Linked DNA regions of Lonchura striata. The protein of the gene in region 1 purifies or fractionates together with the protein of each later gene. This does not show direct contact. Links are inferred from orthologs where the notes say so. Each region holds a gene or a part of one and is shown in the gene's direction. Other genes may lie near its edges.

What was found.
Region 2: the proteins of POLR2B (region 1) and GPN1 purify together in Homo sapiens (affinity purification with mass spectrometry; 4 studies listed by BioGRID and IntAct, with this or other methods). This does not show direct contact. The link is inferred for Lonchura striata from reciprocal best matches to the Homo sapiens genes POLR2B and GPN1.
Region 3: the proteins of POLR2B (region 1) and INTS6 purify together in Homo sapiens (affinity purification with mass spectrometry; 3 studies listed by BioGRID and IntAct, with this or other methods). This does not show direct contact. The link is inferred for Lonchura striata from reciprocal best matches to the Homo sapiens genes POLR2B and INTS6.

Annotation. Positions count from the first base shown.
Region 1 is NC_134606.1:58,663,229-58,666,971, reverse strand, and holds the start of POLR2B (DNA-directed RNA polymerase II subunit RPB2), read left to right. Parts: upstream 1-1,454; 5' UTR 1,455-1,515; coding exon 1,516-1,534; intron 1,535-1,714; coding exon 1,715-1,787; intron 1,788-2,611; coding exon 2,612-2,762; intron 2,763-3,743. Other genes in the region: NOA1 (nitric oxide-associated protein 1), read right to left, coding at 442-1,375. UniProt on the Homo sapiens protein: Catalytic core component of RNA polymerase II (Pol II), a DNA-dependent RNA polymerase which synthesizes mRNA precursors and many functional non-coding RNAs using the four ribonucleoside triphosphates as substrates.
Region 2 is NC_134605.1:113,918,838-113,922,580, forward strand, and holds the start of GPN1 (GPN-loop GTPase 1), read left to right. Parts: upstream 1-1,422; 5' UTR 1,423-1,444; coding exon 1,445-1,540; intron 1,541-1,677; coding exon 1,678-1,771; intron 1,772-2,504; coding exon 2,505-2,544; intron 2,545-3,743. Other genes in the region: ZNF512 (zinc finger protein 512), read right to left, coding at 1,172-1,198. UniProt on the Homo sapiens protein: Small GTPase required for proper nuclear import of RNA polymerase II (RNAPII). May act at an RNAP assembly step prior to nuclear import.
Region 3 is NC_134604.1:63,358,675-63,362,417, reverse strand, and holds the start of INTS6 (integrator complex subunit 6), read left to right. Parts: upstream 1-930; 5' UTR 931-983; intron 984-1,046; exon of another isoform or gene 1,047-1,294; 5' UTR 1,295-1,344; coding exon 1,345-1,455; intron 1,456-1,690; coding exon 1,691-1,768; intron 1,769-2,486; coding exon 2,487-2,636; intron 2,637-3,743. UniProt on the Homo sapiens protein: Component of the integrator complex, a multiprotein complex that terminates RNA polymerase II (Pol II) transcription in the promoter-proximal region of genes.

The DNA of each region.
Region 1 (3,743 bases):
CAGGCACAGTGACTCCATCATCTCCCTTGGCAATCCATTCTAATGTCTAATCACCCTTTTGGTGAAGAAATTCCTGCTAATGTCCAACCTCAAGCTGCCCTAGTGCATCTTAAGACTATGTCCTCTTCTGCCACTGGCTGCCTCGGAGAAGAGACTGCCTCCCACCTAGCTACAACTTCCTCTGGGTAGATGCAGGGAGTGGTAACATCTCCCAAACCTCCTTTTCTTTGTGTTAAACACTTCAGCCACTCCTCCCAGGTAATAATGTGAAGCACGGCACACTTCTGGAGCTTGCTGCCCACCATGGAGGTACTGCTTTGGTGACAGGTTCTCCTGCCGCAGGGGTGGCCAAGAGCAGCCTAGAGGCACATATCTCGCTTTTTTCTGCACACCCCGCATTCCCCATTACCCGGGCTACAAAGGGCCGAGCAGTGCCCTGACCTGGCCACGAGGACACGGTGGCCCTGTCGATGATGTCGGGGGCGCGGGACTTGCAGTAGTCGGAGCGCAGCAGGGTGTTGAAGAGCGTAGACTTGCCCGAGTTGGTGGCGCCCAGCAGGTAGACATCGCCGGCGCACTTCCAGGAGCGCTGCAGCCGGCTGACCAGCCCCTCCATGCCGTAGCCGGTCTTGGCGCTGACCAGGCGGATGTCCACCAGCGCGGCTCCCCGCAGCCCGGCCCGGGCACAGGCCGCCGCCACCCGCTGCCGCAGCCGCCCCAGGTGCCCGCGGCGGTCTGCGGGCAGCAGGTCCACTTTGTTGCCCACCACCAGCACGCCGGCGGCGGGCACATCGGGGCTCAGCAGCGCCGGCAGCTGCGGCAGCACGGGATCGGGCAGCTCCGTCACGTCGAGCACGTACAGCAGCAGCGGCCCGCGGCCGTGGCGCCGCGGGCGGCGCAGGGCGTTGCTCAGCACGCGGCGGTGCTCGGCGGGCGGCAGCTGCAGCGCCGGGGCGCCGCCGCCGTGCGCCAGCGCCCAGCACCGCCGGCACACGGCGCCGCGCAGTGCCGCGGGGCCCTCGCACAGCAGGTTGCGGTACCTCTCGGCCGGCACGAAGCCCGGCGCGCCGCCGTCCCCGCATTGCAGCTCGGCCCCGCAGCCCGAGCAGCTCACGCCGCTCGGCGGCACCGACGGGTCCGACAGGCTCGGCATCGCCACTGCCACTGCGCGCCGCGCCCGCCGCTCCCGCCGCGGCTTCAGCTCCCACTCCTGGCGCGGCGCCCTCTCAGCCGGGTCCCGCTCGTACTCGAGGAAGACGAAGCGCTCCTGCTCCGTGCCGTGGCCCGTCGCCGCCGCCCCGCACGGCCGCAGCGGGGCGCGGAGCGGAGCCAGGCGGGCAAGGCGGAACAGCCGCGCGGGGCCCAGGCGCAGCATGGCGGGGCTGCCTGACGTCGCGGGGCGCGCGGGCGCCTCGCGGGAGACGCGACGTGACGTCACGGGTCGCGCAGCCGCCGTCCCGCCGCCGCCGCCACCGGCCCGCGCCCGCCCCTCGCTCCGCCGCTCCCGCCGCCACCATGTACGACGCGGACGAAGGTGAGGGGTTTGTTTCCCTTTTCCTTCTCCTCTTCTTTCCCTCCCGCCCGGCCCTCCCAGGGATGGAGCCGGTGTCCGCGGGAGCCCGGAGATGGGAGATGCGGTGCCTCTCCCCGAGCCAGGCGCGGGGGGGACACGGCGGCGGTCGGAGCCTAACTCACACCTTGTACTTGCCCGCAGATATGCAATATGATGAGGACGATGATGAGATCACGCCCGACCTGTGGCAAGAAGCCTGCTGGATTGTTATTAGGTGACCTGCTAGAACTTGCTGTCCTTACCCCGCCAAAAGCTGTGCTCTCGGTCTGCAGGGACATCCAGCTAGCTCCCGGGAACACGCCTGGGAGCTGCGGTTTGGTTACGCTAAACTGTGTTGCAGCACCTTCAGAGCAGGAGGGCTTTTGGTAGAAACAAAAGGCTGTCGGCTGGGATTGAGAAATTCTGACCCCCAGCACACGCGTTTTTCAGTGAAGAAAGGGGTGGTTTTGGTTCCATATCAAGCACGTGGTTTTGCCCATTAATCTCACTGTTGTTGCTGGCATTAGGAAATCAGTACAGGGGTATTTTCACCATTTTTTCTAGCAAAATGTGAGCATCCAGAACCTGTGTGGCTGGAACACAGGGAATCCAAGTTAAAAGTTGAGTACTATTACTTGGAATTGGGGGCATCCTCCTAGTCTACTGCAGCTAGGAAAATTAGTTGAAGCAAAGTAATTCATAGTGTTACTGAAAACTTGACCTGGAGCCCTTTCAGTGAGGTTTGTCATCACGTTTCTCTTCCAATTTAAGGGAATTTTGAGGCACTCACCGTGCATGCAGTTGTGGCTTAGCTAAGAGGTGGCAGCAAGTCTTGTCACTCCAAAGTGTCTGTGTCTTCAGGCAGGGAGGGAATTATTAAACATTTGTGAGGAGCATCTGTGTTTGAATGCCTTGGGTTAAGTAAATATGGTTGATTCTGTACTATATCTCATGGCTTGTGGAGTTTTGGTTATAAATATGTTTTAAGTTTGTTGGTGTGTGAAGTATATTAATTAAATTAAGATTTCTTATTAACCTGGTTTTTTTTAATTTTTTTAGCTCCTATTTTGATGAAAAGGGTTTAGTCAGGCAACAGTTGGATTCCTTTGATGAGTTTATTCAGATGTCTGTGCAGAGAATTGTTGAAGATGCTCCACCAATTGATTTACAAGCTGAAGCCCAGCATGCCTCAGGAGAAGTGGAAGAGCCAGTAAGTGAAGAACCTTGGCAGAGATTATGTGTTTTTACAATTCAAAGTCATTTGACATCAATTCTGTTCAACTCCTGTCCTGCTGTTTGAGCTGAGAAATGACCAAGTGGCTGCTGTAGCTCATATTGTCAGTTCCTCTGCAAAACTGCATGGACAGAGATTTACTAGAGCAGGTCAGGTAGCCAAGAGCAAGCTGTGTTTTGGTGAGATTTTGGTTTTAAGCAGCTTTACTGTGGCAAGGCTTATAGCTGAAAACTTCTCTTTAGCTTTGACTCAGGTTAGGTCCGGGTTTTCAAAGCGTGCTGTTGTTCATGTTCTTCCCTTGGAACTATGACAATAGAGATTGTCTCTATTCTGCACCCCATGATGAGTGTGCTCCTCTACAATGAGTGTGCACCTTCTGCAGTGGCTCTGGTGCTTTCACCTGTATCCCTGGTGTAGTCTGATCCCTGTTCCATAAGTGCAGATGGTGATGAGCCATTGCCTTGCTGTTAGTCACTACCTTGATGCTTCCCTACAGGGATTTAAATGAACTCTAGGACACCAGAGCGTTGATTTTATTACATGGTTTTCCTGTTCCTTGGCATTTTTTGCCAGCAAACAACTGTCCTGTAGAGAATAAGTGAGATGTCTTTTGGTTTCTTTGCTAGGCAAATGGTTCATAAACATTTAGCTCACTAATTCTTAATATTTTCTCTGTTATTCTGTGTATATTATGGCAGAATTCTGTATTTGTGCAGTTCTGCAGCTGATGTTTGTGCTGTGCTTGGTCTCTGTTCAAATCAAAAGTATGGTTTGTGCTGGGCTTCTTTTTGCCCGAATGCTATTAATTTACTTTCTCAAGTAGTGTCTTATTCTCATTTATGATTTGCAAGTTTTTGGGAATAGGTTTAGAGATGAGAAAAAGAAAACCTGTTTTTTCCTCAGAGTCACTTGCAGGCAATCTCTCACCACATTTGAAGATGCTGGACTAATTTAAGG
Region 2 (3,743 bases), on another chromosome or scaffold:
AGAAATGTGTAGAACCCTCACTGAGAAGCAGCCAGAAAAAGTCAGGGCTATGAGTTTACAATGGTAAAAACAAATAAACAGGCAGGTGGAGTCTGCTGCAATTCACTGGCTTAATCTACAATTAGAAGAACTGAAATTACAAACATGGTGTGTGTATCAAGATTCATGGGGTTTTCATAACTAAAAAAATTTGCGTTAAGAGTGAGGATTACTATGAAAAACTCTGGTAGTAGTTAAGGATCTGTAATAAAAAAGGAGAGTGAAAACGATCTGTCAGGCTTTACTTACTGAGAAGTTAATAACAGCAATTATAAAGGAAACATCTACAGAAACTGGTGCTTAAGTTCTGTGGTTTTTTTTTCCTTTATACACTTTACTTCCTACTTAAAAAACAGAGACCTAATGTATGCAGGAATGCCCAACGGCTGGACACAAGGAAAACAGAAAAGTCACCTTCCTTGCACAGGTGAGAAGAAGTCAAACAGCAGCCCAGAGCCTGAAAAAATCGGGAGTGGTGAATTCTGTCTGCCCGTGGACTGCGGCCCATTCTGATGAGACGGAACACGTCTGCTGCTGGAGCTGGAACACGGGCTAGAGACAGCATCCAGCTCAGCAAGACAGTGCAGAAGCACAGCACCGAAGCCCCCTGAGATGAGGAGCTGGTACAGAAGCTGGAGTGATGAAGATGCCAGCAGGGACACCGGGCATCCTGCGGGCCCGACTGTCCCCGCGAGGAGCGGGAGGCTCTGGATCCTGTGGGGAACTCCCTGTTCCAGCCCCGCGTTCCCGTTCCTACCCGCACATCTACCAACAACTACAGCATCCCGGACAAAGCGCACCCCGGCGCCAGCAGCGCCCCGCTCAGGCGTCCTGCCCGGCTCCGGGCCGAACCGAACCGGGCCAGGCCCGAGGCCTCGGGGGACGGCCTGGCCTTCGGGCGGAGCGGGACGGTTCCCGCGCAGCTCCCCGGGAGCCCGAAGCGAGCCTGCTCGCCGCCCGCTCAGGGCCGCTCACCGCGCCGGGCCAGGCCGCACAGCCCCGCCGGCGGCCCGGGGAAGCCGGCTCGCTCCCGCGATCCCGACGTCGGAACCCATCTCGCGATGACCGCGGACCAGCTAGACTCTCCGGGGCAGCCGCCGGTGGCATCGGTGAAAAGACTGCGAGCACTCACCGAGCCGCCGCCACTACCGCCCCGCATGGTGCCGGTGCCGCCGCCACGTCAGCGCCGCGCCCGCCCGCGCAGTCCCGGCCGCCGCTCCCGGCCGGCCCCTCCAGCCCCGCCGCGCTGCGGCTGTCGTGGCGCGCCCGGGGTCGAGCAGCGCCAGAAGGCCGCGCGGGCCCGCGGAGCGTCCCAGGCGGCAGCGGGGCCACAACCGGGTCCGGGCGTGTCACGTCGGCGCTGCGGCCGCCCCCCGCCCCGGAAGGACAAGTGAGCTCTGGGAATATGGCAGCGGCGGCGGGAGGAACGGTCGTGGCCGCTGCCCCGGTGTGTGTACTAGTGCTGGGTATGGCCGGCTCCGGAAAAACCACCTTCGTGCAGGTGAGAGGCTGCGGGAGTCGCGAGGGGCCGTGGGGAGTCGCCGGCTGCCCCCGGGGCTGCCCGTGCCCAGTGGGGCTGCCCGTGCCCCTGGGGCTCCCTGTGTCCAGCGGGGCTGACGCATTCCCGTGTCTCCGCAGCGCCTGGCCGCCCACCTGCACGGGCAGCGCTGCCCCCCGTACGTGATCAACCTGGACCCTGCCGTGCACAGCCTGCCCTTCCCCGCCAACATCGGTAAGTGCTGCGGGACGGCGGGCCCGGGCCGAAGGAGCGGCCTGGGGTCCGCAGTAGGAAACAGGGCCTTCAACAGAGACCCAGCCGGGTCGCGGAGTGTGCTTTCCATGTGTTCCGCGGGAGCGAATACGTGAGAGAATAGAAGCTGGGCTGCTTGTGTTCCCTTAAAAGAGCCCAAGCTCTAATAAAAAAAGGACTATTTTTTAAAGTTATAGGTATTTGCTTTAAATAGTGGTTAATATGACTATTTTTAGAACCAAAGCCATTCATCCAATGCATCTGTACCTTTTTATGTCTTCTGATGTGATTGGTGGTATTTGAGTTCTGGAGGCTGTTTTTTATCAGTAATGAAAGGATTAGCAGATTTGATTTGGTTCCCCCCATACAAATATGCTATCAACAAAGAGCTTTAAAGCACTTTAAAAGACACGAATTTTAAAGAAAACATTTTAGCACTAGAACAGATTTAGGTTTAGCTGTTCCAAAGAGCGTACCAGTCCCTAGTTTTGTGAGAATCCTGTCTCTTACCCTCTGTGAAGGATGGCAGCCAACCTTTCCAAAGGATAAGAAAGACAGTGTGGGTTCACAAGTTGTTTCACTGCTGTCAGAGGAATGACTGGAGTGTCTGTTCCAGTGCTGGATCTCTAGTAAGACAGATTGGGAGATGTGCTTTGTTAGCTGAATGGTGGCCAGCTGGGGGTTAGAAAACTGTTTGTATGCCTTTCTCCCCCAGATATCAGGGACACTGTGAAGTACAAAGAAGTCATGAAACAGTATCCTTTTTTTTTGTCTGAATAATGATATTTGAAATTTTAAGTTTTTGAAAATAATCTGTTGCGTGAACACTGTGGTGAAGGGGCAGGAAGTGGGTGGGATCGCAGCAATGCAGAGTGTTGCATGAAGATCAAGAGGTTTTGATTGTGTATTTCTTGCATGTGATATTAGGAATGTGTGTTCTACGAGATTTGGCACTTAGCTGATCTCCTGTGCTAAAAATGATTTTGCCTAACAGTAAATTTTTACAAGCAATAAATAGTTTTTTTTTTTTCTGGTCTTTTATGGTGGGTTTTTTGAGGGAGGGGGTTGTTTGTTTTTCTGTTTTGGTTTTGGTTGGTTGGTTTTGTTTTGCTTTTTTTTTTTTTTTTTTTTTTTTTTAAGCCGGCAGCCTTTTCCCCATGTTTTATCTAGTCTAATTTTATTTGTCATAACCATGACAATGAAAATTCCTACTTGCCTCTAGGCAAGGAATGAAAATTCCTACTTGCCTGATGAAGCAAACTATTTCTCCATTTGGCCATAATCAAAGCATTGTTGTCTCTCTGAATCTCAGAGACATGGGAGTGTTTGCTCTCACTCACAGTGTTGCTGACTGTAGTGCAGTAACATTATGCTAAAGTGGCTGCACTTCCTGAGGGCTGTGGAGGTCTTTGGTCGCTTATGTAATAGCTTGTGCAGATGAGGCAATACATAGTCTTTGGTTTTAACTTGCAAGTATGACTCTTAAATTTAATATTTTAGACAAGAATAAAGGTGATGGGGGATTCTTGATTTTGGCTGTTGTTTGATTTGGGGTTACCAGCAGAAAATCCTAAATATAAGTTTCAAATTAATATGTAAGTGCATTATTTGCTTCACTGCATATGTTAGCCATTACTGGAGTGTCTGTGCCTTGTTAATAAGAGCTTGAGGAGGATGTTTGGATATTGAGAGTGGTGATAGAGAAAACTGTGTGTTATGAGTCAGTGCTGGTTCTTGTGCAGTTAAAGCACAAATAGCAAGAAGAAGCCACGTAGCCCCTCTTCCTTCTGCCAATTGCATGTGTTTGGGTAAGAGTGGATTTGTTAGCCTGCTGAATGACTTTATAGACGTGTATTAATCGTGTATCGCGGCTGTTGTCCCTTGATCTCAAGATATCCAGAGTGCATCTGTAGTCAGAGCTGACAAAGATGACCTCTGGGGTCTGCGTAACCAT
Region 3 (3,743 bases), on another chromosome or scaffold:
TCACTGCTCCTATGGAAGGAAAAAGGTCACAGCTAAGGCTAGCCAATTTTTTATCCCCTAAGGATCGAGTGAGAGGCCAGATCATGTCTTTGGGAATTCATCATCTAAATGGTACCAGACCGTCTTCTCCACCCTAAACCCAGTGGACAAGCCAGGCGACCCCCGTGCTGTCTGCCAGGAGCCGAAGTTCCCTTGAGGAGCGATCCCCCGCTCCCGCGGCGCCGGCGGGGCTCCGCGGACCGGAGGCACTGCCGAGCACCCGGCTGCTGCCCCGCTGTCCCGGAGCCCCAAGGCACTGCCCCGTCCCGCCCAGGGGCAGCACCCGCGGCGGGGGCAGCCGGGGACCTGCCGCAGCCCCAAGGAGACCGGCGGCGCCCGGAGACGGGGCGGGGGGCGGTGCCCGCCCTCTCCCCTCCCTCCTTCCTTCCCACCCCCGTGACTCACCCGCCGTTCCCGGCGGCGACAAGCCGCCAGCGCCGGAGTTACCGCCCCGGCGCTCCCCGGGGGACACCCCCGCCCTCCCCGAGCGGGCGGGTCGGGCAGGGCGCTGCTCCCGAGGGACGCGTCACCCCGCAGCCCTCGAAATAGCTCAGCGAGAGGGGCGGCGGCGTCAGATCCCTCTCCCCGCGGGTCCCTCCCGCGCTGCCCCTCCGCATGCCCGGCGCCCGCAGCGCACCCACGGGGCCGCGCACCAGCGCGCCCTGCCCCGTGTCCCCCGGCCGCCCCCCCGCCCGCGGCTGCGCCTGCGCGCCCCCGCCGGCTGCGGCCGCCCCGCCCCTCCGATTTGAATATGCTAATGAGCGGCTACAGGGTCCCTATGGTGGAGCTGGGAGACAGTCACGTGGGACGGGGACGTGTCCTTGGGGGCGGGGCCGACCTACCCAGGCTGCCTTAAAAGCGGGAGGCGAGCGAGGAAGCGCCTCAGTCAGAGCGAGAAAGTGCTGGGGTAGCGGGGCTGCGGCTGCTCCGCCTGAAACTTCTGAGTAACATCAACAGGGGGAGGGGAGGGCGGGCGGTGGAGGAGGAAGGTGGTGGTGGGGGGAAGGTTAGCCAGCAGCGCAGCCCTATCCGCCTCTCCCTCATAAACCAGCCTGTGTTGGGCTGAGCAGGCCCCTCACACAAAGGAGGGCAGGGCAGGCAGGGCTGCCCCCCCTTCCCCCCCGCCTCGGCAGAGGGGCAGCGGGGAGGCGCCCTTCCCCGTGCACAGCACTCACAGCCACTTACTCCTCTCCCGTCCCCCGTCTTCTCTCTCTCCCCTCCTTCCCCTCGCCTCCCCTGACGGTTCTCCCCTCAGCCCCCCGCCCGCTGTCCATGTAGCCGTCCGGCCGCCGGCCCCTCCGCACTATGCCCATCTTACTCTTCCTGATAGACACGTCCGCCTCCATGAACCAGCGCACCCATCTGGGCACCACCTATCTGGACATAGCCAAAGGCGCTGTAGAGACTTTCATGAAGGTACCGGGCTCTGCCTTGCGAGAGGAGGCGAGAGAAAGCGAGCGAGAGTGGCTGCGCGGGGAGGGGAGGGGGCGGCAGGGAGCGGGGGGCTGCCTGGGCCGGGGGCGCGGGGCGAGGGCGGGAGCGAGCGAGTGCGTGTGAGTGCGGGAGGGAGAGGAGGGCCGGGCCGAGCCGGGGGGCTCCGGCGGCGGCGCCGCCTCTCGGCTCACCCTCTGCTTTGTCCCCCGCGCCGCAGCTCCGAGCCCGGGACCCGGCCAGCAGGGGAGACAGGTACATGCTGGTCACTTTCGAGGAGCCTCCCTACGCTATCAAGGTAACCCCCGCTCACCCCCCTGCTCCCCGGCCTCCTTCCGGCCCGTCCGCCCCGCGCCCGCCTCGCCGCGGCTGCCGGCGGTCCGGGGGAGCGCGGCACACACGGGCTCCGGCGGCGGCGCTGACATCAACATGGCCGACGCTTTTCCCCTGTGCGGTGTGTGCGAGCAGCAATGAACTGTGGGGGATATGTATTCAAGTTGGGAGAAGTGACAGCAACTCCAAGGAGAGTTCGGCTTGGAAGGGGCGAGCCGGGAGAACGACCGACTTCAGCCCTGAGAGCCCCGGACTCGGAAGGGGACGGCACTTCCCTGGCCCCGCCGCGGCAGGGCGGGGGCGACGCGGGGGAAGGGGGCGGTGGGTCCACATGACACAGGACGGTGAACCTGTTGGAGGTCGCTTCACAGCGCAGTTGGCTTCCATCTGGGCAGGGCTCTGGGAAGGTGATGTATATAACTCTAAGGTTTGGGCACCGGTGTCCTCAGAGAACTGTCCTGTGGAACAAAGTGAAAATGCGCCTTTGGTAAATGGGAGTTCTGAGGATTAAGAGAAATGCATCATTTTAGGCTTTTTTGGAGCAACATCAAATACTACTAACTTCTGAGGTGTTTTGTTATCATTTGTAGTGAGCTGCATGCAGCAGGGAAGGCTCTTTGTAGCCTAACAAGAAAGCAAAACTTCTATCTGTGGAATAAATCTTTTCACGTTTCTCTTTGCAGGCTGGCTGGAAGGAAAACCATGCAACGTTTATGAATGAACTGAAAAACCTTCAAGCTGAAGGGCTTACGACTCTTGGCCAGTCCCTAAGGACAGCTTTTGATTTATTAAACTTAAATAGATTAGTAACTGGCATAGACAACTATGGGCAGGTAGGTTGACTGTTACTAGGTGGAAAAATCTTAAAACCAAACTTCCCAGAGACAGCAATTAGCTAGTTGTCCAAAGTGGCATATTCATGGAATATTCCATATGAGGCCAGCTTTTTAGTGTGATATAGCCTCCAAGTTGACCTTTTCAGTTCAAATTTTTCCTTTTTTTATTGAGTGTGTTCAGTACCTTAGCTGGTAAGCCTGATAGGGTTATGAAAACTTTGCTTTCTCTATACAGTGCTGAACAGTTTGGGAGATGAGCCTTTTTTCTAACAACACTGCATATCCAAAAGTACTGGAAGGAGCACTTTTTCAAAACACTGTCTTTCCAGTGAGTTTACCACAACATTTCTCTGCATATGTGTATTTTTATAAACCTGCCTGTTGTATCAGAGCCTCAAGAAGCTGTGCTTTTTAAATCTCGCTGTTGCAGCTATCCCTTTAAAACCGGAGTTGTTTGGTGTGAGCATTCTCATGCTCATGAGCTGCTAAAATACAGACATTATAGTTTAAACATATGCCTTAGGACTCATACAGAGTTCTTTCTGTTGCTGGATCCAAGCCTGGATTTGTTTCACATGAAGGATGTTACTAGTACTTTTCATGTGGGGCATACCAACTTGAATCTCTCTTTTTTGTTTGTTATTCTCATGTAATTCTTTGTCCACTATCTGAGGATTAATACTTAGTTCTGCTTTTGGTATTTGAGATGGGAATGTGGCTGTGAACACAAGTCCCCGTTTTTCCCCCACTATGTCCGGTCTAAGCAGGATTTATCATAACATACCACATGTGTTTATGAAGGAAATTTGTCATGCTGCATTATATGGCTTTACCATGAGATGATCAAGTGAGCCTAAGCACTTTTAAAATGCCTGTTCAGTGATGAAACTTTGAAAAAGGGCTAGTTCCACACATGGGATTTTTTCCTGTGACCATCTGATGTCTTTATACATCTGTGTGTAATTTTCCCATTTTTCTGGTGTTTTCCTTTAGCTACAAGTGCTTTATTAATCTTTCTTGAACACTTAACCCATGTAGGTCCCTACACAAAATACTGCTTTTTCCCATTGCTACTGATAATTACTCTAATTAAACCTATGTCAA